Linked DNA regions of Lepisosteus oculatus. The protein of the gene in region 1 purifies or fractionates together with the protein of each later gene. This does not show direct contact. Links are inferred from orthologs where the notes say so. Each region holds a gene or a part of one and is shown in the gene's direction. Other genes may lie near its edges.

Evidence for each region.
Region 2: the proteins of cdk16 (region 1) and ccny purify together in Homo sapiens (affinity purification with mass spectrometry; 3 studies listed by BioGRID and IntAct, counting the BioPlex papers as one, with this or other methods). This does not show direct contact. The link is inferred for Lepisosteus oculatus from reciprocal best matches to the Homo sapiens genes CDK16 and CCNY.
Region 3: the proteins of cdk16 (region 1) and ccnyl1 purify together in Homo sapiens (affinity purification with mass spectrometry; 4 studies listed by BioGRID and IntAct, counting the BioPlex papers as one, with this or other methods). This does not show direct contact. The link is inferred for Lepisosteus oculatus from reciprocal best matches to the Homo sapiens genes CDK16 and CCNYL1.

Annotation. Positions count from the first base shown.
Region 1 is NC_090697.1:76,680,293-76,688,276, forward strand, and holds the start of cdk16 (cyclin-dependent kinase 16), read left to right. Parts: upstream 1-4,542; 5' UTR 4,543-4,769; intron 4,770-5,373; exon of another isoform or gene 5,374-5,620; 5' UTR 5,621-5,826; intron 5,827-6,295; exon of another isoform or gene 6,296-6,317; intron 6,318-7,984. UniProt on the Homo sapiens protein: Protein kinase that plays a role in vesicle-mediated transport processes and exocytosis. Regulates GH1 release by brain neurons. Phosphorylates NSF, and thereby regulates NSF oligomerization. Required for normal spermatogenesis.
Region 2 is NC_090701.1:38,337,273-38,345,421, reverse strand, and holds the start of ccny (cyclin-Y), read left to right. Parts: upstream 1-4,817; 5' UTR 4,818-5,331; coding exon 5,332-5,485; intron 5,486-8,149. UniProt on the Homo sapiens protein: Positive regulatory subunit of the cyclin-dependent kinases CDK14/PFTK1 and CDK16.
Region 3 is NC_090707.1:7,597,705-7,605,387, reverse strand, and holds the start of ccnyl1 (cyclin-Y-like protein 1), read left to right. Parts: upstream 1-4,434; 5' UTR 4,435-5,067; coding exon 5,068-5,233; intron 5,234-7,683. Other genes in the region: protein N-lysine methyltransferase METTL21A, read right to left, coding at 204-610, 1,000-1,111, 1,606-1,768, 1,932-1,984. UniProt on the Homo sapiens protein: Key regulator of Wnt signaling implicated in various biological processes including male fertility, embryonic neurogenesis and cortex development. Activates the cyclin-dependent kinase CDK16, and promotes sperm maturation.

The DNA of each region.
Region 1 (7,984 bases):
ACACCGCTTGGGTTTTAAAAGGAGTTTGCAATCACCAGACGTGTCCTATTCCCCCCAGCACACACACACACACACACACACACACACACACAGCACGCACCAGAGCAGTCCCTGCTCCCTCACCCCTGCGCTACGCCTGCGGTGCACCGATGACAGCCAGGCTATTCTCCAGAACAAGCAAGAGAGGGTTTCCCCCAAAACAGGTCTTACTTTAAACCGCAGCTGCAGGCAGGCGGGCAGGCAGGATCCTTAGGAAGAGGTTTTTGTCTCTCGTCGTCTGTCTCACCGACTAAGTCCCACTCTCCCTCTCTCCACCCCCCTTCTCTTTCACTCATGCTCTTTCAGCCACCCTCCACCCCCCACCTTCCAGCCTCCAGCTCCCTGCTCCCAGCTCAACAATACTTGAGTTTCATGCTTTCCTGGGGGGGAGGAATGGGAGGTGGTAGGGCCGAATTTAGAAAGCTGGGCTCAGAGGGCCTGACTGTGACAACTACAGACACACAGACACAGACACAGACACACACACACACACACACACACACACACACACACACACACACACACACACACACACGTGCTGGGAGTCCACGTTTCTGCACAGGAGAATCTCCAGCTTTTCTTAGCCTGCCTGCAAACGTCTCGTCTTGCTTCTGAGTCTCAGCTGCTCTTCTGTCGTCTTCTGCTGTTTTAATTGATCTCGAAGTGAAGGTCTGAAGTCCAAATTTGAGCTGTCCGGGAAGTGACGAAGCCGAGCGCTCAGAGGTCAGTGGATGATGCAGGATGGACAGGCAGGGTCAGAGGGTTAAGACGGGGACAGTCTGCCAGGCTGGTGGACAGGGTAGTAGTGAGCAGACGGAGAGAGGGCGCGTGTGATAGAGCAGAAGCTGAGTATTTATAATCCTGCTTGATCCAATTGTGTATTAATCCCTGTCTCTCCTCCCCACCTCCTGCCCTCCCTCTTTCCCTTTCCTGACACGCAGTATAGCCCAGGCCCTCCCACACAGGCACAAGCACAAACACAGGGCGCTCACCCAGCTCGCAGCCTGATTCAAATCCGTGTTTGATAAGCTGTACTTTGGAGCAGTAAGTTTATACCGGTATACAAATACGCCCAATGAAGACAAGTTCTCATGAGCACTGCTGGAAACGGCCACCAGAGGGCGCAACAAAAGAAAGTGTGACAGAGCCTTAACTCCCTCTGGTGGCCGGTTCTTGAAGTGCTCCTAAGAACATTTCTTCGTTGGCTGTTTGTATGTTTGTGTTTTCGGGTATGTGGCGCTGTTGAAATCTCCGCGTGATGGTGTCAGGCATAAAGGGCTGTGCTGAGTGGATAAGCTGACGGGTGTCTGTAAGGCAAGTCATGTGATTGCAGGAGCTCAAAGGAGGACAAAGATGTCCAGGGAGATCTCATACAGACTGTTCTGGAAGCATCTCTGGGAATCCCAGCTTCCACGCCACAGCTGGGCCGCTCGCTTCTGAACCCCACAACTCTCGGGGTAAGGTGTGAGGACGTGCCTCCTGTACTCGTTTGTAAGTGCGCTTCCCTGAGGTTTTCTGCGTTTATCCCCTGGTTTGTGTTTCCTTCCTTTTACACACTTGTGAAGAGGCCCAGTGAGGGCTGACCAGAGATTTAAAATCAGGTAGAGCAGGAATAAACACAGCCGTGAAATGTGCAGGGATTCACTGGCAGCTGGCTGGAGATTCAGCTGGAAAAGAATTACATTGTGGGTGCATTTACCACAGTCCATCACAGTAAGATCACGTCCTACACTGGTAACTGTGTATTAGGATGTGGTGAGGTTAGGACCCTTCCTCTGAAGGCTTCTTTTTTTACGTTTCTTCCACATTTTGCTAATGTTTCACACTCGACAATCGCTTGAGTATTGAAGCCAGCAGGCAGGCGAGAAACACACGGACGAAGAGGAGCCCTGATGCGGAGTCTCTGCGTGCTGTTCATCCTGTGCCAGCTCTGACAGAGTGACCTTTCCCTTCTGTGAGCGCCCCCAGGCTCTGGGCACACAGCGCACTGCCCTACTGCGCCAGTCACCTGCAATCTCATCACCACATGCATAGAGCACAGAACAAGCGCTTATGAGTGCACATACAGAGGATCAAGGGCTTGTGAGCACACACACACAGAGGAACAAGGGCTTGTGAGCACACACACAGAGGAACAAGGGCTTGTGAGAACACACACAGAGGATCAAGGGCTTGTGAGCACACACAGAGGAACAAGGGCTTGTGAACACACACACACACAGGAACAAGGGCTTGGGAGCACACACACAGAGGAACAAGGGCTCGTGAGCACACACACACAGAGGAACAAGGGCTTGTGTGCGCACACACAGAGGAACAAGGGTTTGTGAGCACACACACAGAGGAACAAGTGCTTGTGAGCACACACACAGAGGAACAAGGGCTTGTGAGCACACACACAGAGGAACAAGCACTTGTGAGCACACACACACAGAGTAAAATATGCTTGTGAAGTGTACACACACACAGAGGAACAAGGGCTTGTGAGGTACCCTGCCTTGTTTCATCTGCAGCACTGGAGATATTAAATGTGCACTTTTGCCCTTTGGGAAAATCGCAGAGCTACCTGACAGATACGTTTTTTTTAATTCTTTCTGTATAACGTTGGGAGTGCTTGTTCAACGTTCACAGCTCAGTGTGCCAGTTTCCATGTCATTTGGCACTTTTTAATTTGTCCCCTAAATGGCCTTTTCCCCAGTGATTGATGCACGCACGTCTGCTCCGTGCTTTTCCACTCTGCCTCCCAGAATGAGCACAGCTGCTGTGGCGGATCGGGCTGTGTTCAGTGGGGGCGCTCCTGTAGAGAATCTCCAGGGCTGGGTTTAGTCAGATGTTAACTGTCCTCTCCTGAGCAGGAGAGGAGGAGCCATCTTCATAAAGAAAGATGAGATGAGAGATGCAGATTGAATAATGAATCAATCACGTCTATGAATTAATCAATTGCATCTTGCAGATAGGAGGGAACCCCCAGACCCAAATGGATATGAGCGGTCATTATGGGACAGTTTAAACGCACTGATAAGGAAATATCGTGAGAGCACCAAAATTGTTCCAGAGCACGTTCAGCAATAGGCTGATCCCACCACGGTGCGACAGGGGGCGCTACAGGAGGTCATTCTTGCCTTCTGCCCTAAGACTGTACAACGCCTCCACTGTGTGTCTGGGCAGGGGCAACATTGACCTGTTTTTGGACTAAACATAAAACTCTGCTTCCATCTGGTTTTTTCCTGTTTACAACTGTTTTATGTGCAAGATATGCTGGGGAGTTGTGCAATATATTTATAATGCGCAATACATCTTGCTGTGTCCAGTAGTTTCGGGTCTCCTTTTGTATATTTTGTACTGCGAGCAACTCTGTATAATCCATTTTTTTCCTTCTACTGCACTTCCCACTGACTGTATTGACTGTATGGTATTGTTGTATCATTTCGTTACACTGTGCTGTGCTTGACTTTGTTAAGCTGCCGTTGCACTGCAATTTCCCTCACGGGATCAATCTATTGTGCTTTAGGCAAGCTTTCATTTACATACCCTAGACGTTAGAACTGAATTAGCACTTGTAAATCCCGTTTGTCTGGAATAATAGTTTTGGTTCTGTAGATTCTCTTCCTCGTCCACCTGCTCTCTGAAGCCCTCAATCCGTGTGGCTAAGGCAGGTGCCCCGGTCGACATCCTGTAGGCACGCTGAACGGGCGCAGTCGCGTTCCAAGCTGCTTGTCCACAAAAGGCTACACATCCAGGCAGCCACAGGTGTCGAGTATGGTTAATATTGTAGCGTCCTCGCCGCTTCAGGTCATCCCCCCACCGTTAGGGACTCGAACCCGGGCCTCCAGCGTCACTCAACAGGGACCCAGCCAGTTGAGCTACAGGGAAATCTCCCCTTAGCCCCCCGCCAGAGGCCCGGGTTCGAGTCCCCAGCGGTGGGGGGGCCGACCTGGGGCGGCAGCGGCGAGGGCGCATACCCACGTGAGCCCGAGAGCGCTACAATATCTACACGTGCGATTCAGGCGTTGTGTTCAGTACGGATTTACCCGTTTTGCTTCGCTTGACGTTACTTCTGAGCGGGGAAAAAAGTGCAGAATCGCTCGTCTGCGAGGGACTGAGTGACTGCAAGCTGCGGCTTCTCACTCCGGCCGATTAACTCCACAGGAAACTCAAACTTCACTATTTACCTCTTTTTTTTTTTACAGCAGTTGTCCCTGTTAAAAGCCGAAAACAACACTCTCTTACACGGGAGATTAGAAAATGAAAATCGTCCAATGCGACAACCGAGTAACATTTCCTTTTCAAAACGTTACTGCTGTCTCTCAGAAAGGGTCTCATTCTCCTGAAGCAGCCGGGGGGTAACGTCTCCTTACTTTATCGGTTGTGCGGGACGCTTTGAAATAACTGAGATCTACCCTTAAAGTGATCTCTTTAACGTCTCTCCCTCGATCTGCTTTACGCGACCTATAAAAGTCTAAAAGCGTTTGCGGAGCTCACTGAGGGCGTGACAGCTCCGCGACGAGTTTTTGTTTTTAATGGCCTTAGCGGTGTGTTGTAAACCCTTTCCGAGCTGAGGCAACGGATCTTTCGATGTGCTCGGTTCCGAATCGCAAGTGAAGGCATCCTTATTGGTGATTAACGAGATCACCAGGTTTCTCTCTTCGGTATTAGAACAGGTTCCGATCATCTTTAAGGAGGACGGGTGTTGAGCTGAAGGCCAAATCCTGGGGAGTAACGACAGTGTGGTCAGTATGAACTCGGAATAGCTCGGACTGCCGGTGTGCATCTTCAAGTGACGGAGTTTCGCGGTGTGAAATATGTAGGGAGACTGTCGCGCATCTCGCTACCACGATTCCTTAGATAAGCCATCGCCGTAACAGTGCAAAAAAAAACCCAACAACCATCCTAGTCCGCATCTGCCGTGAGTCTAGGTCTGATTTACGCATGAAATTCTATTTTGTTTCCCATTTCAAGCCGTCTCTGTTTAAACTCCGGGTCTTGACGTACAGCGCAAAATTCGCTCTCCGTCAGAAGGGGAGCCCCCGAAATTTTTACTTATGGGCTTGGAGAGGAGGTTTGGGGGACTACAGAACTCGGGTTCTGGCCCCCTGTTTTCTGGACACGTGAAATCGCTCGGTATGACCCCGGCTCCTAATCCACCAGACCGGGGTTCGGGATCCTCACGTCTGTGACGCAGATTATTACGAGGCTGTTCCACCATTCTCCAGTGACGCGACCGCCCCCCTCCCCCTCTGCGCCCTCACCAGATGGTACGTCCCTGGTTTCTCTGAATGGAATTCGGGCCGTACCATCGCCGGGCACCGACGAGGAGAGGAGGGGGAGGGGACGTGTCAGTCTGGGGATGGGGGGGGGTTAGAAAACCTCACAGTGATCGGCGAGTTACAAGCCGGGCACGGGGTTGTGAGCGGTGATATCAAAACGGGAAAATCGGTGGAGCGCAGCAGCCCGGGACGTGAGGCACGGCGTGGAATATTTCGGTCGGGGTGTACGAGAGCAGCCCCGCCCCCCCCTGTGCGTGTTTCAGTCCAGGTTTTTGTGACTCGCGGCTGTTCCCGTCTCCCCCCTCCGCTCCCAGGATTTAGGGAAAGGGGGTAGAACAGAAAACCAGCTGTGCCGCAGTTCGCGAAAAACACCAGCGGCTCGGGAGCTGCCGGAGGTCGGGGGGATATCCGCGTCCTGTCGGAGCCTGCCGGACCATGGCTGAAGACTACTGGGAGCTGCCAGCGGCCCGGGGACATTACTGAGACCGTGCAGCCAGGGCAGCAGACGTCCCGCGGCGGGGTAAGATCTCTCCCTCTCTCCCTCTCTCTCTCTGCGGGCGGTGGGAGGGTCTGCGGGCGCGGATTTGCCCCCGTGTTTGTGCACGGGGCAGCTGGACGGCGGGGCTGGGCAGAGGCTCTGTCAGCCTCCTGCTGCCCCGCTTTCCACGGCGAGGTCCCGCAGGATGAGGTGTTTTCCGCGTCGGCTCCCAAGTAACGGAATCGCCCGCATACCTGCCGCCGACTGCTGGCGGGCTAATTATAACACCGCATTCCTGCGCGCCCGCGGCGGTTATTTCCGTGCCGGGGGGTCGGCGGAGGCAGGTCCGGGGGTCTCCGAGTCTCCGCAGCGCGCTGGACCACTGTTTCATGGGGATAATAATGACGTCATACAAGTGCCGTGATTTATAACCCCCCCCACCCCTCTATTGATAGCGGCAGGGCTGAAACGTGGCCGGTGCCGTGTGCCGCAGTCTGGGCTCGGCCCGGTTCCGGACGCCCGGGCTCGGGCTGGTGAGGAGAACCTGTCCGTCCGCCTCGTCGTTCGGCTGTTACCGCACAGGGGCCGGCGGGGCTGCGCAGGGACGGCGATGTTCGTGTGTTCAAACGGACTTGGGGTGACTGGGGGGGGTCGGCGGGGTGCGTTTGTCAAAGACACAGCGGGTAGTCGTGGGTCGTGGTCTCGGGGTCCGGAGTTTAGCGAGATCTCTCGCCCCCCCTTTTCCTGTGGCTGGAACCCAGGGCCGGAGGGATACCCCGAGTGGGGGGGTGGGGGTCTTTAACCTGCACGAGCTCGCAATCCCCCCCCCCCCCCCCCTCTCGAGGACCGCTCGCACGCATTCCGGGCCGGTGCAGCAGCAGCAGCGGCGGCGGCGGCGCACGCGCCCGGGCTGGACGGTTTCGCGTGGACCGCGCGAGGCTGGCCGCCGGGGCTCGCGACGCGCGTGGCTCGGTTTCCGGAGAGCGGGGGCTGCAGGTGCGAGACGGACTGTGAGGCTGGTCCCCGGCGGAGAGGTGTACAGGGCCGTGCGTTACGACTGTCTTGCGTGTTTAACTCATGACAGCGCGTCGTGAAGCCGGAATGAATAGCTCTTTTAGGATGGCACTTTGGGAACTAATGTCGTTATTGCGTATTAAGGTTTGCGGTACGGCTGCTCTTTCAGGGCAGGCGAGCACGTCTGTCACAGCGCCTCCAGCCCGCAGCGCTCCTGTCTGCGATGCCCACGGGCGTGGGGTGCCGTCACGGGTCCAGCGCGTGTGTGCGGGCGCGCGGGGTGCCGCTGCGTGACGCCGTCCAGGCGCCGTGGTTCCGGGGCTCGGGGCTCTGAGGGGTCGCGGGCCCCAGCCCCGGGGAGGCGGTGACGTGACCTTGGCCCGTGCCCCCCGAGGGCAGCGTCGTCATGGAGACGTCTTCGGGCACGAGACCGGACGAGACGCTGCAGCTCCGCTGGCGGGGATGGGGTCAGTCACGAGGAGAGGGTGCCTCGCTCCCACCCCTGCCCCCCCCCCTGCCCCAGCGGGGCTGTCCCGGGATCACCAGGCACCCGGGAGGAAGAGGAATTGGACACGCTTTCTGTTTTTAAAAAAAGAGGGATGATGTGATTGTATTCGTTAGTCAGCTTCCCCTGATCTTTGGAGCTGGAAGGATCTCTCTCTGGGCTCTGCCTTTGGCCTGAGGAAGAGGAAGAGGAGGGTGAGAGCTGGTGTTTCCGCCATTCAGAGCCCTGGGGTGCTGGAGGAGGTGGGCATTCAGAGCCCCGGGGTGCTTTGTGTCTGGCGCTGGTCCGAGGGTCGTGGGCCTGGCGGGTCACCCCAGGGGGGGCTAGCTGGGCTTTGGCCACGGGACAGGTGGAGACAGCTGTGCGCCGTGCCCGCGGTCGGGGAAACGCTCGGTACCCATGGCTTCGAAGAAGTCGGAACCACAAGGCCGGCTCTTGCGTGCCGGAATTCACCAGTGCCGTCTGCCGCTCGGGCGGGCCTGCGAAGAGAATTCCCACCATTGCTCGGCTGTGCATCCCGACCTGGCCTGATAAAAAGCTGGTGTTGGAGTGTGCTCCGTTTTGTGCTTGGTTTGATCTCACGCACACACAAGCTCCCTGACGCGGGGGTCTACCCCTCAGGCTGGACAGACCCCCTATTTGAGCTGCTGTGCCTCTGCGAAGCCGGACGCGGGCAGTGAG
Region 2 (8,149 bases), on another chromosome or scaffold:
CCACATCATTGCACATGTATGTTAAGTTTCATTGACTATTCTAAGTTCTCCCTTTCTGATTATGGTTCAAGGAGATTTCAGGTGTTCTAGAGGACAGCCACCACAACTAGTATCTTATTCCCGGAATACAGACAATCAAACAAACGCATTAGGCCTAATGACCTCTCTTTGGTGACCTTTCTGATGTACAAAGGTTCATTAGAAAGCTCACCAAAGGTCATTTATCATGATATATTTAAATAGTTCATCTTTTAAATTAGGTTGATACAGTGGCATGGCATTTAGCACTGCTGCTTTATAGCTCTTGAGTCCTGGTTTGATTTTTTTGTGGAGTTTGCATGCTCTCCTTCTCTGGTTTTCTCCCACTATCAAAATACATACTGTTTATGTTAACTGGCATCTTTAAGGAGTCTTCATTATGTCTATGTATCCTGTGCTAGGAGCCCAGTGCCTGCTGAATTAGGCACCAGCTCACTGCCACCCTGTATAGGAAAAAATGCCTTTATTGTTTTGCACCACAGTGTATATATATTTTGACCTGACCAGAGAACAATTCATCAAGTCCATTAGTGACCAACACATAAAACAAGCACTTAAAAAGACTGGAACGGTGACACACTTCAGTAAATACAGAAGGCAGAAGGGGCCTGACTCAACACAGTCCTTAACTGCTGTGGAATGGCATCTAAAGTTACAGGTTAGCTCTAAATCACATTTACTCTCCAGGGCAACCTGTAATCATACAAAGTGGTACCTCAACAACTGAAGGCTCCCAGCTGTGTGACACAAGTTCTAATACTCCTAGATTCTGTCATTCATACACACTGCCCACCTGCAGCACCCACAGCAAGGACAGAAGGAGCTGCAGAGGGTTGTGTTGCTCTTCCCTTGAAGAGGCTACTAGTGAAAAACACTTTGGTTTGTGTTGCCTGATCATTAACATCTTTTAATCAATGTACTGAAAAAGTAAAGGGGCAACCGATGTTTAGATACGTAATAGAAAGTGTGGAGGCATAGTGGCACAGTGGTTAGCACTGTTGCCTCACAGTGTTAGGACCCTGAGGTCAATTTCAGGCCTGGAGTACTATCTGTGTGGAGTTTGTATGTTCTCCCTCTGTTTGTGTGAGTTGAATAATAATAATAATAATAATTAATAATTGCTTACACTTACATAGTGCTTTTCTGGACACTCCACTCAAAGCGCTTTACAGGTAACGGGGACTCCCCTCCACTACCACCAATGTGCAGCATGCACCTGGATGATGCGACAGTCATAGTGCGCCAGTATACTCACCACACATCAGCTATCGTTGGTGAGGAGAGCTGAGTGTTGAAGCCAAATCACAGGTTTAATCATGGCCATGACTGATTAAAAGCCAATGTGAAATTTGGCCCAGATGCCAGGGCTACACCCCTACTCTTCTCGCGAAACATCCTGGGATTTGTAATGACCAAAGAGAGCCAGGACCTCGGTTTTACGTCTCATGCGAAGGATGGCGCCTTTTTAAAGTATAATGTCACTATACTGGGGTGTTAGGACCCACACAGACTGCACGGTGAGCGCCCCCTGCTGGCCCCACTAACACCTCTTCCAGGCAGCAACCTTAGCTTTCCCAGTTGGTCTTCCATCCAGGTACTGACCAGGCTCACACCTGCTTAGTTCAGTGGGTTGCCATCCTGTCCAGGGAATACTCTGCCTTACTTCCATCTCTTGTCAAGATAGCCTCTGGCTCTTTAATGACCCTGAAATGGATGAAACGGGTTAGAAAAGGTCTCAACAGAAAACTAGACAAAAGTGTATTTAGATTTGAGAAAATAAAATATTTCTTTACCCAAAAGGTTATGTAAGTATGGAACCGTCTGCTCAGCCATTTTGTTCAAATGGATACCCTGGCTTGTTTCAAGAATCAGCTGGATACAATCTTTAGATGAATTAGCTACTAAACTCCAAATGGGCTACATGGGCAGAAGGTCCTCCTCTTATTTGCAACCTTTCTTGTGTTATTAGTGCTGAAGAGGTGTATTCAGTTGATGAGGTAGCAGGTTATGGTTGGGTTTCATTCATTTTCAAGGCTGCTCAACATGCCAGTGTAGAGAGCTGTCATTTTCACCTTATGTTTAAATATTTCACTTTGATCAAACAACTACCGAATAGTTCTAGTTTAGGTATATGTAAATAACTGCATTTGTATTTTTAACGTTACCTTTCTCCACTGCACAGCATAATGAAAGAGGAAAAAGGAGACAGAAGGAGGAGTCCCGCAAAGCTAAAGATGACATAACCACAATAGATGTGTGCAACCCAACAGCTTGTGGAAAGACCTTAGAAAATCAAACCTAACAACTAACTTAGATTCCAATCAAGTAAAAAGAGAGCAGCTCAGTACTTTTGTGACCTGTCAAGTCAGTTCTTAATTCACTCTTTACAGTAACTGAAGAGAGACTAATGTGATATTTCGTGGATAGGATATCGAATGAATAACAAGGTGATGTGTAGCTGACTAGATAAAACCCCTATTAATAAATAACCCCCCTTACTGCTAACTACTGACAATGCTGCCGAATCATTTGTAGATTCCTGATCATTATCATCAGCAAGAATTTGAAAATGCGTCTGTAAACACACTATGAAAAAAACATTTCTGAATCAAATTGGATTTACATCCTATTTCATTTTGTAATGCAGACCTGCATACATAATAAACAATGGCTGTGTCATGTCAGGGCAGTTCTGCCATCTTTGCTACAGACCTACATAGGTGACCTTTCATCTCTCAACTAGATAACAAGCCCTTACTAGTAATCGGAGCTCCTCAAGGTGTCACAGTCAGCATGAAGGCACATCAGTCTTTATCTGTTTTAGCAGAGGGCATTGTGTCTGTTATGCTGCCCATGTTAGGAATCCCATAAATACAGAAAAGAACATGACAGTAGCAAGTGAGGCTGAGGATTTCACTGTCTCATTTCTAGAGCTGTCTTCTCTCTGCCATGCAGGACACTGTTGTGAGGCAAATTCCTTCTGTCCATGCGTTTCCTAACCGTTTCATCCAATTTAGGGTCACGGGGGAGCTGGAGCTTATCCTGGCAAGCAATGGGCGCAGGGCAGGGTACACCCTGTATGGGACACCAGTCCATCGTAGGACAGACATATACAAACACACACTCGCACCAGGGCCAACATTCCCAGCAGCAAATAAACTTACCAGTGTGTCTTTGGATTTTGGGAGGGAACTGAAGCATCCGGAGGAAACCCACGCGAACATGTGGAGAATGTACTAACTCCAAACAAATAGCACCCTAGGTTTGGAGTTGAACCCAGGGCCTCAGTGACTTGAGCTAACCTTCACAAATTACAACCCACACAGAGTCATAGCCCTGATTAGGACCCTTATATTCAAAAGATCTTTACTAGCTGAGTACTTTACTGATGTACACTACTGTAGCATGATATGTACAGAAAAATATATGTAATTTTGAAGGCCACATGAATAAAAAATGTTACTTAAAAAGTGAAACACAAATTCGTAGTTTGTGAAATGAGTAAAGTAAGGCTTGTTTGGGTCTCTCTAATTTTAAACAAATCCTCACACAGCTACTTAGAGGAAATGGCCCCCAGTATCCTTCTCTGATTTCCATTGAATCCAAATAGCTTGTTTGTCAACACTTCAGGCTGAATCTACTCTCATATACGTGCATTAAAATAACATCCTCTTGATATTAAAGGTTGTTATTTGAAGGTAGAAAATAAAAATGAACTGCAAAACATTTGAAACAGAAAACACAAATGGACTTGAAACAGACCCTGACATATAAAAAAACATTGCACAACATTACGAAACATAACTGATACTGAGAAACAAAAACTTGCTTCATGTGAAAAGTGTATCTGATATGCAGTTAATGGCTGACATGTTAGTAATAGTAATTGGAACGTAACTACTGCTGAACTTTCCTTAGTAGTTTTTTTATGTGATTCCCAAAACACATTTCTTGCAAGTTCCTTAAACCACTCAAAAACAAAGCAAAGGCAATTCTTAGTTTTTGTGTTATACTGATCTTTATCAAAGTCACACAAATGTGACATTTACCATGTAAACATTATCTGCAGAGAAATCTGAATTTCTCTAAAATGTGTTACAGTAGGAAAAAGAACTATTGTAAGACTGACGATCTCCCAGTCTGTGGGTGAACAAGCACGCAGATAGCAGACGGGTTAAGCTAATATCTATTCAATTATTACAGCTTTCCCACATGTGATAGAAATTAATACTTAACACCAAGTGAAGAGTATGTGATGTCCATAGACATCATTTATATGCTAATAAATAAGGATTTCCTTTCTCTTTTTCTGTCTTTTTATTTATTGGCACAATTTACTTTGATTACTGGAATAATAAAATTACTAATATTTGGGCAGCAGGAAATGGGACCAAACCGTTTTTTTAAATAATCCGAGATATCTTTTTAGAGACCTTTCCAACATTATAATTTCTAGGTTTTAATCATTTTTTATCCTAGCGCCAAACATACTTACAAAAAGCTAAAACAAAAAGAAACATTTGTATTCATATAAAACAGATAACAACACCTTTCTGTGGTGTACAGTAAATTACGTGTAACATACAACCGTTCTTATATTTACTTAATTTACAAAATACGAAATGAGTACAGCTATTTTAATAATAAACGCAGTTACGACAAGAGAAAAACTTCATTTCCAGGAGAAAAACTACATATTACGCTTGAGCCCTCCATTCTTTCCTGTCCAACACATTTTTAGGCTCCCAGCAGCGAATTTTGCAGAAGCGTTACCACCCACTTGAACCGGAACCTTTTCAATCAAACTGCTTCGACTGTGTTGCCTCTGTTTGCTATGTACACTGACAGCAGGAGCCGCGACGCTTGCAATGTTTCGCTAACATCCTCAGTTTACATGCCCCTGTTAATGGGTTTAAAATGACGAGGGGATAACAGCAGACCCCCTTTCGTTTTGTTTATTTAGATCAATCACGACAAGTAAACCAGACTGCTGCGTGGGTTGTGCAGATTTCAGTGCCTGCTTAAAATATCAGGCGGGCAGAAAGAAAAGGGAGAGGGTTTCAAACCTTTCTCCGATTTCTTGCTCTTTTTTCTGTTCGCAAATGGCTTTGCATTATTGCTGCTGCTGCTGCTGCTGCTAGCTAGGACCGGACGAGGGTGTATAACTGATCGGATATTCTGGTGTTGCAGTTCCACCCTCGGCGCCCTAGCCTTCTCTTTCAAGACCAGCTTCGGTCTGTGCTGCCAAGCAAAGCTGAAGAGCACTGAGTATATTAAAAAACAACCCTAAAAATGGGGAACACGACGTCCTGCTGCGTGTCCTCCAGCCCCAAGCTCCGGAGAAACGCTCACTCCAGGCTGGAGTCCTACCGCCCGGAGCCCGAGCTCAGCCGAGAAGACACGGGCTGCAACCTTCAGCACATCAGCGACAGGGAGAATATCGACGGTAAGACGGCAGATAAATCACCATGTCTAACGTGAAGGAAAAAAAAATCCAGGACCGCTAAAACCAACGTCGATTTCGTAAATCCAAAGCCCCTCCTTTTTGTTCGGCATATATTTTGTGAAAAAAAAGAGGACTAGTTACAGTGCTGCGAGGTTCGCAATTGCTGAAGATTCTTGAAATTATTTTTTAATTCTTAAGTTGTAAGAATTGAAACCGTGAAGATGCTCAAAAGCTCGAGAATCGTATGACTATTAATCGGGATCGTGCTTGTTGTCATTTGTATCTGTACAAGCGAGTAGAAATTGTGATTTATTTTTTGGGTGGCCCTTGTGTTTTGCAAACAAGCGACAGGAGCTTTGACACAGACTGACAAGTCGATTAGGTTGGCTCCTCAATGTTGTCATCCCGCTGTGAGCATGAATTTTATTGCATCTTGTTTTTTTAAGGTATCGGCGCTTCTAAATAATAAAGGTTGTTCATTGTTTGATGTACTTAGTTATTTACATAGCGGTGTTTGGGGTTTTATATTGTTATCCATCTACCAAACATACACACTACCTCTCCATATGTTTGTTTCACGTTCATAAATCAGTTATTACATGGTTTTGTCGTGAAATGTTCCCTACCGCGAGTGACTTTACAACGAAGAGCCTTGATCTGTTAAAACTTTTTTTTTCCAATAAGAGGAATCGATAATTTGTTGTTGTGGACCTAGTTCAAACCATGTTTGCGGGCGGGTCCCCGGGTTCTCCTGGGTCTTTTTGGTGAGAGCCCAGCGTCCAGCCGGTTGTACTGTGGGTAGTTTCTGATCTGATTGCATTTAACTTCTTAAGGTGTGTGTAATCTAAACATTATTTACTTCATTCAGATTGGATTGTTTATAAATACGTTATGGCATAAGGCCGTTTATTGTTTTATTCTGTAGCTAAATGTTCCTTGAACAGCCGATACCCTAAAGGTTAATTTAAACTGCGACTTCAGGGCACTCCCATGACTGTACTGCTGTGTGTAATGATTTTAATCTTCATTCAGTCTTGTAAGATCCGTAAAAGAACTACATGTTAATTAAAACACTCTTCTAAATTTGGTTACAAAACCACAGTATTAGTGTTCGTAGCCTATTATGGGCACTGTGCTTAATTGCTTTGTAAAAGTCAGAAGAATGAAATCATTTGTTAAAAGCGATAATAAACCCTGATTACCTCCGGATTTTTAAGTAGCATTTACAGGCTAACGAGGCTATGATAAACTCACTAGTGCAGCAGTGAAAGTTCCTTTATGAAAATACTCTTTAAAATCAGAAGGCACGTCTTTTACAGAGAAATACAGTACTGCAATGAGATATATTAATGTTAAACAGTTTTATAGCTTCAATTGATCTGAAGACTGACAAAAAAACAGCATAATGAATTGCACGAATCACTGTTACTGCACGTATTTTACCATTTTATCATGTAAAAACAACTTTCCAGGTTAATCCCAATTACAGAAGTCGGCAAATATTTTTTTTCCATGAATTTTACTACTCAGTTCTTGTAGAATTTTACTACTTAGTAATACGCCTAAGCAAGCACTAAATATTTCTTGGTGATTCCCAAAACATAGAAAGTTAAAAGGCATATAATTTAAAAGCGGCTATTGTATTGGTGGCTTTCCCATTTTATAAACTAAATAAAATTTTTAATTTCTTTTTTGGAACTTGTCTATAAGCTTGTCCTTTCAGTACTGGTGCCATTCTAGACAAGTAACTGGCCTGTCACACTATCCTTGTTGTATTCTAGGACAGCAGATCCTAGAACAAATCATCACTATTAGACACCTCCCTTATAGCTTCACTAGGAAACCTCTGAGGTACATTTTCTAAACATTGCAAAAAGATGTTTAACATTTAATATAGTTAGAACAGGTAAATCAGAGTGAATTAAGTTATTACCCTTCGTATTACTTTGTGTGCTTTTCATTTTAAACCTTACTAAATAAACATTGAGGTACTGTAATATTAGTTACTTGGGCTTTAAATGGTTTATAAACTGAAAGAAAATTTTGACAATCGCATAGCAATCAATATTTGCAGCATAAAGTTCAAAATTAACTCAGTGAAACATTACTTCCAGTTTGTATTGTATGATTAGCGATGCAAGGGGGAAATATTTTTTTTATTTGAACAATTTTTTTCCTAGTTTTGATTTTCTTTCCACACCCAATTTGCTTTCGCCAAATGTTTCTTTGTCTCGGCTCACAGCAGCGACTCCAGTACTGCTGAAGGAGAGAATGAGGACTGAGGGACAAGCCTCAGTCTGACCTGCCCTCCTATTGAGACGCTGCTCTTTGGTCACTCTGCAGGCTCAGTGGTGCCTGACGGGAGAGTTAGTACTGACTGGATGAGGGGTGGGTTTCTCTCTGACATCACATCCGGGTGCTCAGAAAGCTGGCCTTTGATGGAAAGCTGAGAGAGCCCTTACTGATTGCTGTCTGCCTTGCTCTGGCGATACTTTACTAACTCCAAGCAGCTGCAAGGGGAATCCCAGTCAGTAAGCTGGGGTTTCCTAAGCAGCAGGCTACAGACTCGGGTTCTAGCCTGAGACCTCTGGGTCATAGTGCTCCACCTGCAGCAACCGCCTTTTCATAGTTTGTTGAGTCACTCAACAACCAAGCACATTTGAT
Region 3 (7,683 bases), on another chromosome or scaffold:
AAGATCTGCGCACGTGACATTTCCAGCTCGATCCCCCTGGCCCGGAAGAAGACCAGCAGCCTTGAAGCGTCCCGGCACAAACCAGCACTCCCAGAACTCGCCCTGCTGACGAAGACCACCGAGGGGGGGGGTGAGGAAGAGCGGAGCCGGGCTGGGGCGGTTCTCTCGAGTGGCGGTAAACCCCCCGGGGGCTGCGCCCGCCGTCACAGGTCCCGCCCGGCGGGCTCGGCGCGGCGCTTCACGGCCCGGTAGACGCGAACGTCCCCCCGGGCGTGGTAGTGGACCTGCTCCACGGCGAAGCGCCGGCCCAGCGCGGCCAGGAAGGCCCGGTCCCGCTCGTAGCGGAGCCGGCAGGCCAGCAGCACCACGCCGCCCTCCGAGCTCAGGTGCTCCAGCGTCGCCAGCAGGGCCGGGAAGGTCTCCTCCAGGTAGACGATGTCCGCCCCCAGGACCAGGTCGTAGCCGCCCGCGGTGTACCGGTGCAGGGCCTCGCCCCAGGCCAGCTCGGACACCTCCGCCGCGCCGCGCAGCTCCGCCGGCAGGTTGGCCCGCACGTTGGCCCGGAGGAAGTCCAGGGCGGGCTCCCGGTCAGTGAGGGTCACCCTCGCCCCTAGGACACAGAGCAGGGGCCCTGTCAGACGTCAGACCCCCTTCCCAGCCTGCACTGCCAAACCGACCCCCCCCCGCCTGAATGAGACCGATGGGGGGGGCGCGCACGGCCAGGTGACACCGAACGCAGGTCGCCAAGCAGCTGTGCGCGTCCTGCCTGGGAGCACGGAAGATTCGGCCTGTCGCAACATAAACCACTGCGATCAGAGTCTGACCAGACAGGAGTTTGCTCCTGCTCCACGAACCATTCTTCCATGACCCCAAACCACAGGGCGAAACACGGCTTTCCAAGGTGCCTCCTCCCACAGCGACAGCTCCATCACAATTTGAGTACAGCGCAGTGCCCGGGAAGGGACAGTGCCTACAGGGCCCCTGACCGCCGGTACTCACCCAGCAGTGTTGCCACGATGCCCACCAGCCCGGTGCCAGCCCCCAGCTCTATGGCCTTCTTCCCCTGCAGCTCCACCTCGCCCAGCTCCAGGTACATGCACAGCACCACGGCCTGCAAGCAGACGGGACAGCACAGGTCTGCACAGAGCTGCACCCCCACCGGCCAGACCCCCACGCCCCGTCCCCCCGCTGGCCATCCAGAGACGCCCCGACCCCCCGCTGGCCATCCAGAGACGCCCCGTCCCCCCGCTGGCGAGACCCCCACAGCTAATTTCCCATCTGGGACAATAAAAGGATGTAAGGAATTGAGCGAGTGAGGCCGATCCCCCACTGCCCGCGGACAGCCTCCGAGGACGACGAGCCCCAGCACTTCTGTTTGCAACCAACATTTAAACGCTCGGCCCCCCAGTTTCACATTAGCGTTGGGGGGGGGGGGGGGGGGACGGAGGGGAGGCGCTTCTTTACGCAAAGAGTTGTAGGAGTCCGGAACAAGTCCGATCACCCCCCCTCCGCCTCCTTTCAGGAAACGGCTGGGCTACCTCGTAGCAGCGGCAGCTTTTGAAGACTGAAGCAGCTAGATTGAACCCTTTTGAAAAGCCCACTCACGGCGTCCCAGACCACCGCCGCCACGCCCAGCCGGCCCCAGTCCTGGGCCAAGCGCAGGCGGCGGCCGGCGAAGCGGAACTCGGCGGCGGACTCGTGCAGCCGGGACAGCGCGGGCAGGGCGCTCTCGTCGTACGGGACCAGCGCCATGCTCCGCCGGCAGCGCCTGGGGGAGAGAGAGAGAGAGCACACCGGTCAGCCGGTTTCTGCGGTACGACACGAGCACGGAGTTTGTTTTTGAAGAATGCATCTTCCCGAGTGGCCTGTCTCCTCCCCTCTCCCAGCTTTTGTTATTCTGTGTTATTGAATCTTTGCTGTCTTTCTCACACCTGAAGAAGGCTTCACAGCCGAAAGGTTGTTTTCTCTCTTCCCTTTTCAGCATGCAATAAGCCTATTATATCTTCCTTTTGTGTCGTTTTATCTGCTAAATGAGCTCCGGGGGGCTCATTTCTGCTGGATTCCCCGTGAGCTGGCTCATTCCTGGATTCGTGCAGTAGATCCTCACGTGTTCCACCTGGCCCCACAGACACTGGCGACCTCTGTCCCCACGGCGGGCTGAGTCTTTTTGAAACACTGCTAAGCTACTACGAACTTGAAAAGTTACCACACACACAAAAAAAAGTCAATCGTATTCAAAATCTGTTTTAATCATCCCCAAAAAGAAAACGTATAACCTTAATGTTAAACATTTGAAACCTATTTCTCTGAATAGGTTACAGGTTACTACTGAAACCTAATTCTCACGCTAAGGGTGAACTTTATTAACAACCCCGTTCCACTATTATTTTCTGTCGACCTCGAAAAAGAGCTTCTCTCCCTATCCTGGTAAGATGTCCTATCTACAGCTGTGCTAGGTGTGATTTTTTAATTATTTTAAATAGGATATTGCTGGTGAAGTCTCGTAAAAACAATAACTGCAGCTTACCCACTAGCGAACAATCAAGGACATACCGGAAGTCGCTCAGGCAATCCCAGGAGTGCTAACGGGGGGGTCCCCTTACAATCTCGCGATGTGATGATGTAAGTCTAGCTCTCAGTTCACGTGCTGATGCTCTAGCCTAGCGAGAAGTGTTGTGGGCAAAAGTCACTTGTTAAGGAGACGTGTGTGTGTTCCTGGAGGGAAGTAAAGTTACCAGACAGAAGTGTGGAGACTGATTTGTATAACAGGACATTTTATTAATAATAATAATAATAATTTACGCTGAAAAAAGGAAGGAAGAAAACACAACGTTTCGGCCGTGGAGCTTTCTTCAGGCTCAAGAAGGCTCCACGGCCGAAACGTTGTGTTTTCTTTCTTCTTTTTTTCAGCATGGAATAAACCTATTACTTGTTCCATTGCAGCCTATGCATGCTGATGCAGGTGCCCACCTGAACTATAACAATAATAATTGCTTACACTTATACAGGACTTTTCTGGACACTCCACTCAAAGCGCTTTACAGGTAATGGGGACTCTCCTCCACCACCACCAGTGTGCAGCCCCACCTGGATCATGAGACAGCAGCCAGAGTGCACCAGTACTCTCTCTACACTTCAGCTCTCAGTGGGGAGGAGAGCAGAGTGATGAAGCCAGTTCAGAGATGGGGATTATTATGAGGCCATGAGTGGTAAATAGATTGCTGGGTCTAATCCCAGACTAGAATAAAATGAAAATCCCCATTGAACCGCTGCACACAAAATTCTGAAAAAAACATTCTTCGTGTGCACAAACATGGCACGGTGCTTGCTGGGCTGGATTAGACCAATGCCCAGTGCTGATTAATATGCAGAAAGAAAATGTTGGCAACAACTAAAAGCAGCGACTACAATTAATAACTTGTTGTGAATGTTTTGGTGATTTTTATGGCGTTGGCAACACTGTTATTGCCAAATAAAGTTCATTGAGCCTGTGCTGTCTGTTGTTGTACGGTACACTTCTGTGTTTAATTATTTTCTGCTATGTGCCAGAATAATATTACACTGCCAATATTCCGTCGTGCCGTTTTTCTTTGCACAAATATTCTAGCAATTCCTGTGTAACATAGCGTACCAATAAAGCCCGCATATACTGTATAAATCTACATTAATACTTTTCAAAGAAACTCAGTGTCGTTTTCATCATGCCCTCTGTTTCAGCGGATGTGGGCCCTTGTACCTTTAAGGACATAGCAGGCTGCCCTCTGGGGTCTGGAGTATGTTTCCAGACCCTTGGAGGGACTTTTAACCTTAAGCCCCACCCCTTTCCACCGGAATGGGGAGGGGTATCATGGGTTGCCGTTTGACTGACAGTGGCAGTGTTCAGAAACCAAGAGGCATTCGGTGACTGACATTTAATCTAACGAGTAAGGAGCCAGATTAGTAAAAGTGGGCGGGGTACTGACCAGCCTGACCGCCTCCACTTTGGTCACGTGACAACACCACGACCCAATCAAACTACTCGACTCGGTCTGTGTTTGGACGAAATAGCCAATCGGAGCGCGGGGCCTCGGTGGTGGGTGGGGCTCGTGTGAGTGCCAGGTAGTGGCGCTGGGAACAGATGGCGGTGGTGGCGGGGAGCGGATTGCTGAACTTGCCGGTGGGGAGGAGGGGATAGCGCCGGGGGGGGGGATTCTCCATAGCCGATACCGGGGTCGAGTTGAGTAAAGCCGTGCTCCGAAAAAGGCTGAGGCCGAATACGTGCCTGACTGGACTCCCCCAGGGGGGTTGAAGCCCGCTGGAGCAGCCTGGGGTCGTAGGCCTCTCATCCTCGAGGTACAGTTGAGCTTGGATCCCGTAAGAGCGAGCGGGGCGAAGAGTGGAGATCTACCTCGGAGAGACGCAAATCCCGGAGCAGAAGCAAGCAGGCGGGCAGGCGGGCGGGCGGACGGGGTTGGAGCGGATTAGTGGAAATCCAGGTTCATACACTACATTTAAAAAAAAAAAGAAAACAGACTCGAAATAGAAGCTTCTCCAAAGAATCGCCGCTTGTTGCAAACTTGTTCGGACTAATCCTTTCCTTTTTTATTAAAGAAAAAAAAAGCATGTAGCAGGAGAAACGGCCTGATCGGTTTCGCTCACTTCTTCTGGGACTCTTGGGGCGGGTGTAGGATTGGCTGAGGAGTCGTGCCGCCGGGTTGAGGCGAGCGGAGAGAGCGGTTCGGACAGCGCTGGCTCCGGTCCGGTCCGGTGCGGTCCGCTTCGCTTCTGGGAGCGCGCCCTGCTGGGCTGGCGGTGCCCGCAGCCTGGGGCAGGTCACCCAGCTCACCAGCCAGAGGGATGTAACTTTCCAAGCGGAGTCGTACCCGCATCGTGAGAAAAAACACCTCACACTACTTCCTTGCGGTTTCAAACGTCACGGTTTAAATGCAATTGGATTTTAAGGCCGGGCGGGCGTCCTCGTAGCTCCGAAGCCGAGGCAGGACAGCGGGTTTCGGCGAAGCAGGCTCTTCCTGAGGGGTCGAGGCGCTCGCCAGCAGAGTCCCGGGACCCGCCAGCGGGACTGTGGGGATGGGGAACACCGTGTCGTGTTGCGTGTCTCCCGGGGGCAGTCCGAAGGTCAGCCGGGCGAGGAGGCAGCAGGAGCGCCTGGAGGAGTACCGAGTGGACCCGGACCTGAGCGAGCCCGACACCGGGCCCTACCTGCAGCACATCAGCGACAGGGAGGTCCCGGACGGTGAGTGTCCCGCGGCGGGTGGGGAAGGGGACACGGGTCGGGCGCGGAGGGGAAAGCGGACCTGCGGGACCGAGGGAGCTGGACATGCCTCCTTCCCCAACCCAGGAATCCTGTTTAAGCCTCCCCGACTCTGAAAGACCCCCAATATTGTCCTTTCTCCACCGTTAGTGCTTCACTGGCGGTCCACCCAAAGCAGGCGCTGTCCGGGTCGGCCGCAGCAGCCACGGGACCCGAACTCTCTCGACAGTACTGAGGCCAGAGATCCAGTTAGGCGGTACCAGCTCGCAGGTGGGGGCGGTACTGCTACTGCCCCCGCCGTAGGCTCGGCAGAGCTGGTTAAATCTCTCAGGGGCGCGGTGGTGTATTTTATAAGGATTTTTTCACTCGTTTGCTCGCGGGGTTGAAGTTGGCAGGTCTTGCACTGAGCTGCGGGGCCGCCCGTCTGAAGCGGTAGCGCAAGCTGGTTGAGCGCAGGACATCTTTTTGATAAAGACCCGAATGCTTAGAAATATGGCGTCAGAAGTGTTGTTGAGTCGATATCTGTCGGTGGCAGGTCCAGGCCGGGTGGTTTTTTTTTTTGAGTGTGTGTGCGCGCTGGACACTGACACGGGTGTGTGTGTGTGTGTGTGAGAGCGTGTGCACGCTGGACACTGTGACACTGGGGTGTGTGTGTGAGAACGTGTGCACGCTGGACACTGTGACACGGGTGTGTGTGTGTGAGAACGTGTGCACGCTGGACAGTGACACGGGGGTGTGTGTGTGTGAGAGTGTGTGCACGCTGGACACTGACACGGGGGTGTGTGTGTGAGAGTGTGTGCACGCTGGACACTGACACGGGTGTGTGTGTGAGAACGTGTGCACGCTGGACACTGTGACACGGGTGTGTGAGAACGTGTGCACGCTGGACACTGTGACACGGGTGTGTGTGTGTGAGAACGTGTGCACGCTGGACACTGTGACACGGGTGTGTGTGTGTGAGAACGTGTGCACGCTGGACACTGTGACACGGGTGTGTGTGTGTGTGTGTGAGAGCGTGTGCACGCTGGACACTGTGACACTGGGGTGTGTGTGTGAGAACGTGTGCACGCTGGACACTGTGACACAGGTGTGTGTGTGTGAGAACGTGTGCACGCTGGACAGTGACACGGGGGTGTGTGTGTGAGAGTGTGTGCACGCTGGACACTGACACGGGGGTGTGTGTGTGAGAGTGTGTGCACGCTGGACACTGACACGGGTGTGTGTGTGAGAACGTGTGCACGCTGGACACTGTGACACGGGTGTGTGAGAACGTGTGCACGCTGGACACTGTGACACGGGTGTGTGTGTGTGAGAACGTGTGCACGCTGGACACTGTGACACGGGTGTGTGTGTGAGAACGTGTGCACGCTGGACACTGTGACACGGGTGTGTGTGTGTGAGAACGTGTGCACGCTGGACAGTGACACGGGGGTGTGTGTGTGAGAGTGTGTGCACGCTGGACACTGACACGGGGGTGTGTGTGTGAGAGTGTGTGCACGCTGGACACTGACACGGGTGTGTGTGTGAGAACGTGTGCACGCTGGACACTGTGACACGGGGGGGTGTGTGTGTGAGAGCGTGTGCACGCTGGACACTGTGACACGGGGGGGTGTGTGTGTGAGAGCGTGTGCACGCTGGACACTGTGACACGGGTGTGTGTGTGTGAGAACGTGTGCACGCTGGACACTGACACGGGGGTGTGTGTGTGAGAGTGTGTGCACGCTGGACACTGACACGGGGGTGTGTGTGTGAGAGTGTGTGCACGCTGGACACTGACACGGGTGTGTGTGTGTGTGAGAGCGTGTGCACGCTGGACACTGACACGGGTGTGTGTGTGTGTGAGAGCGTGTGCGCGCTGGACACTGTGACACGGGTGTGTGTGTGTGAGAGCGTGTGCACGCTGGACACTGTGACACGGGTGTGTGTGTGTGAGAACGTGTGCACGCTGGACACTGACACGGGGGTGTGTGTGTGAGAACGTGTGCACGCTGGACACTGTGACACTGGGGTGTGTGTGAAAGCGTGTGCACGCTGGACACTGTGACACGGGGGTGTGTGTGTGAGTGTGTGCACGCTGGACACTGTGACACGGGGGTGTGTGTGTGAGTGTGTGCACGCTGGACACTGTGACACGGGGGGGGGTGTGTGAGAGTGTGCACGCTGGACACTGTGACACGGGGGGGGTGTGTGAGAGTATGCGTGCTGGACACTGACATGGAGGGTGTGTGTGAGAGCGCGTGCGCTGGACACTGTGACACGGGGGTGTGTGTGTGTGAGTGTGTGCACGCTGGACACTGTGACACGGGGGGGTGTGTGTGTGAGAGCGTGTGCACGCTGGACACTGACATGGAGGGTGTGTGTGAGAGCGCGCGTGCGCTGGACACTGTGACACGTGTATAGTCCACATCGACAGGGGGCTGTTGGGCTGCTTT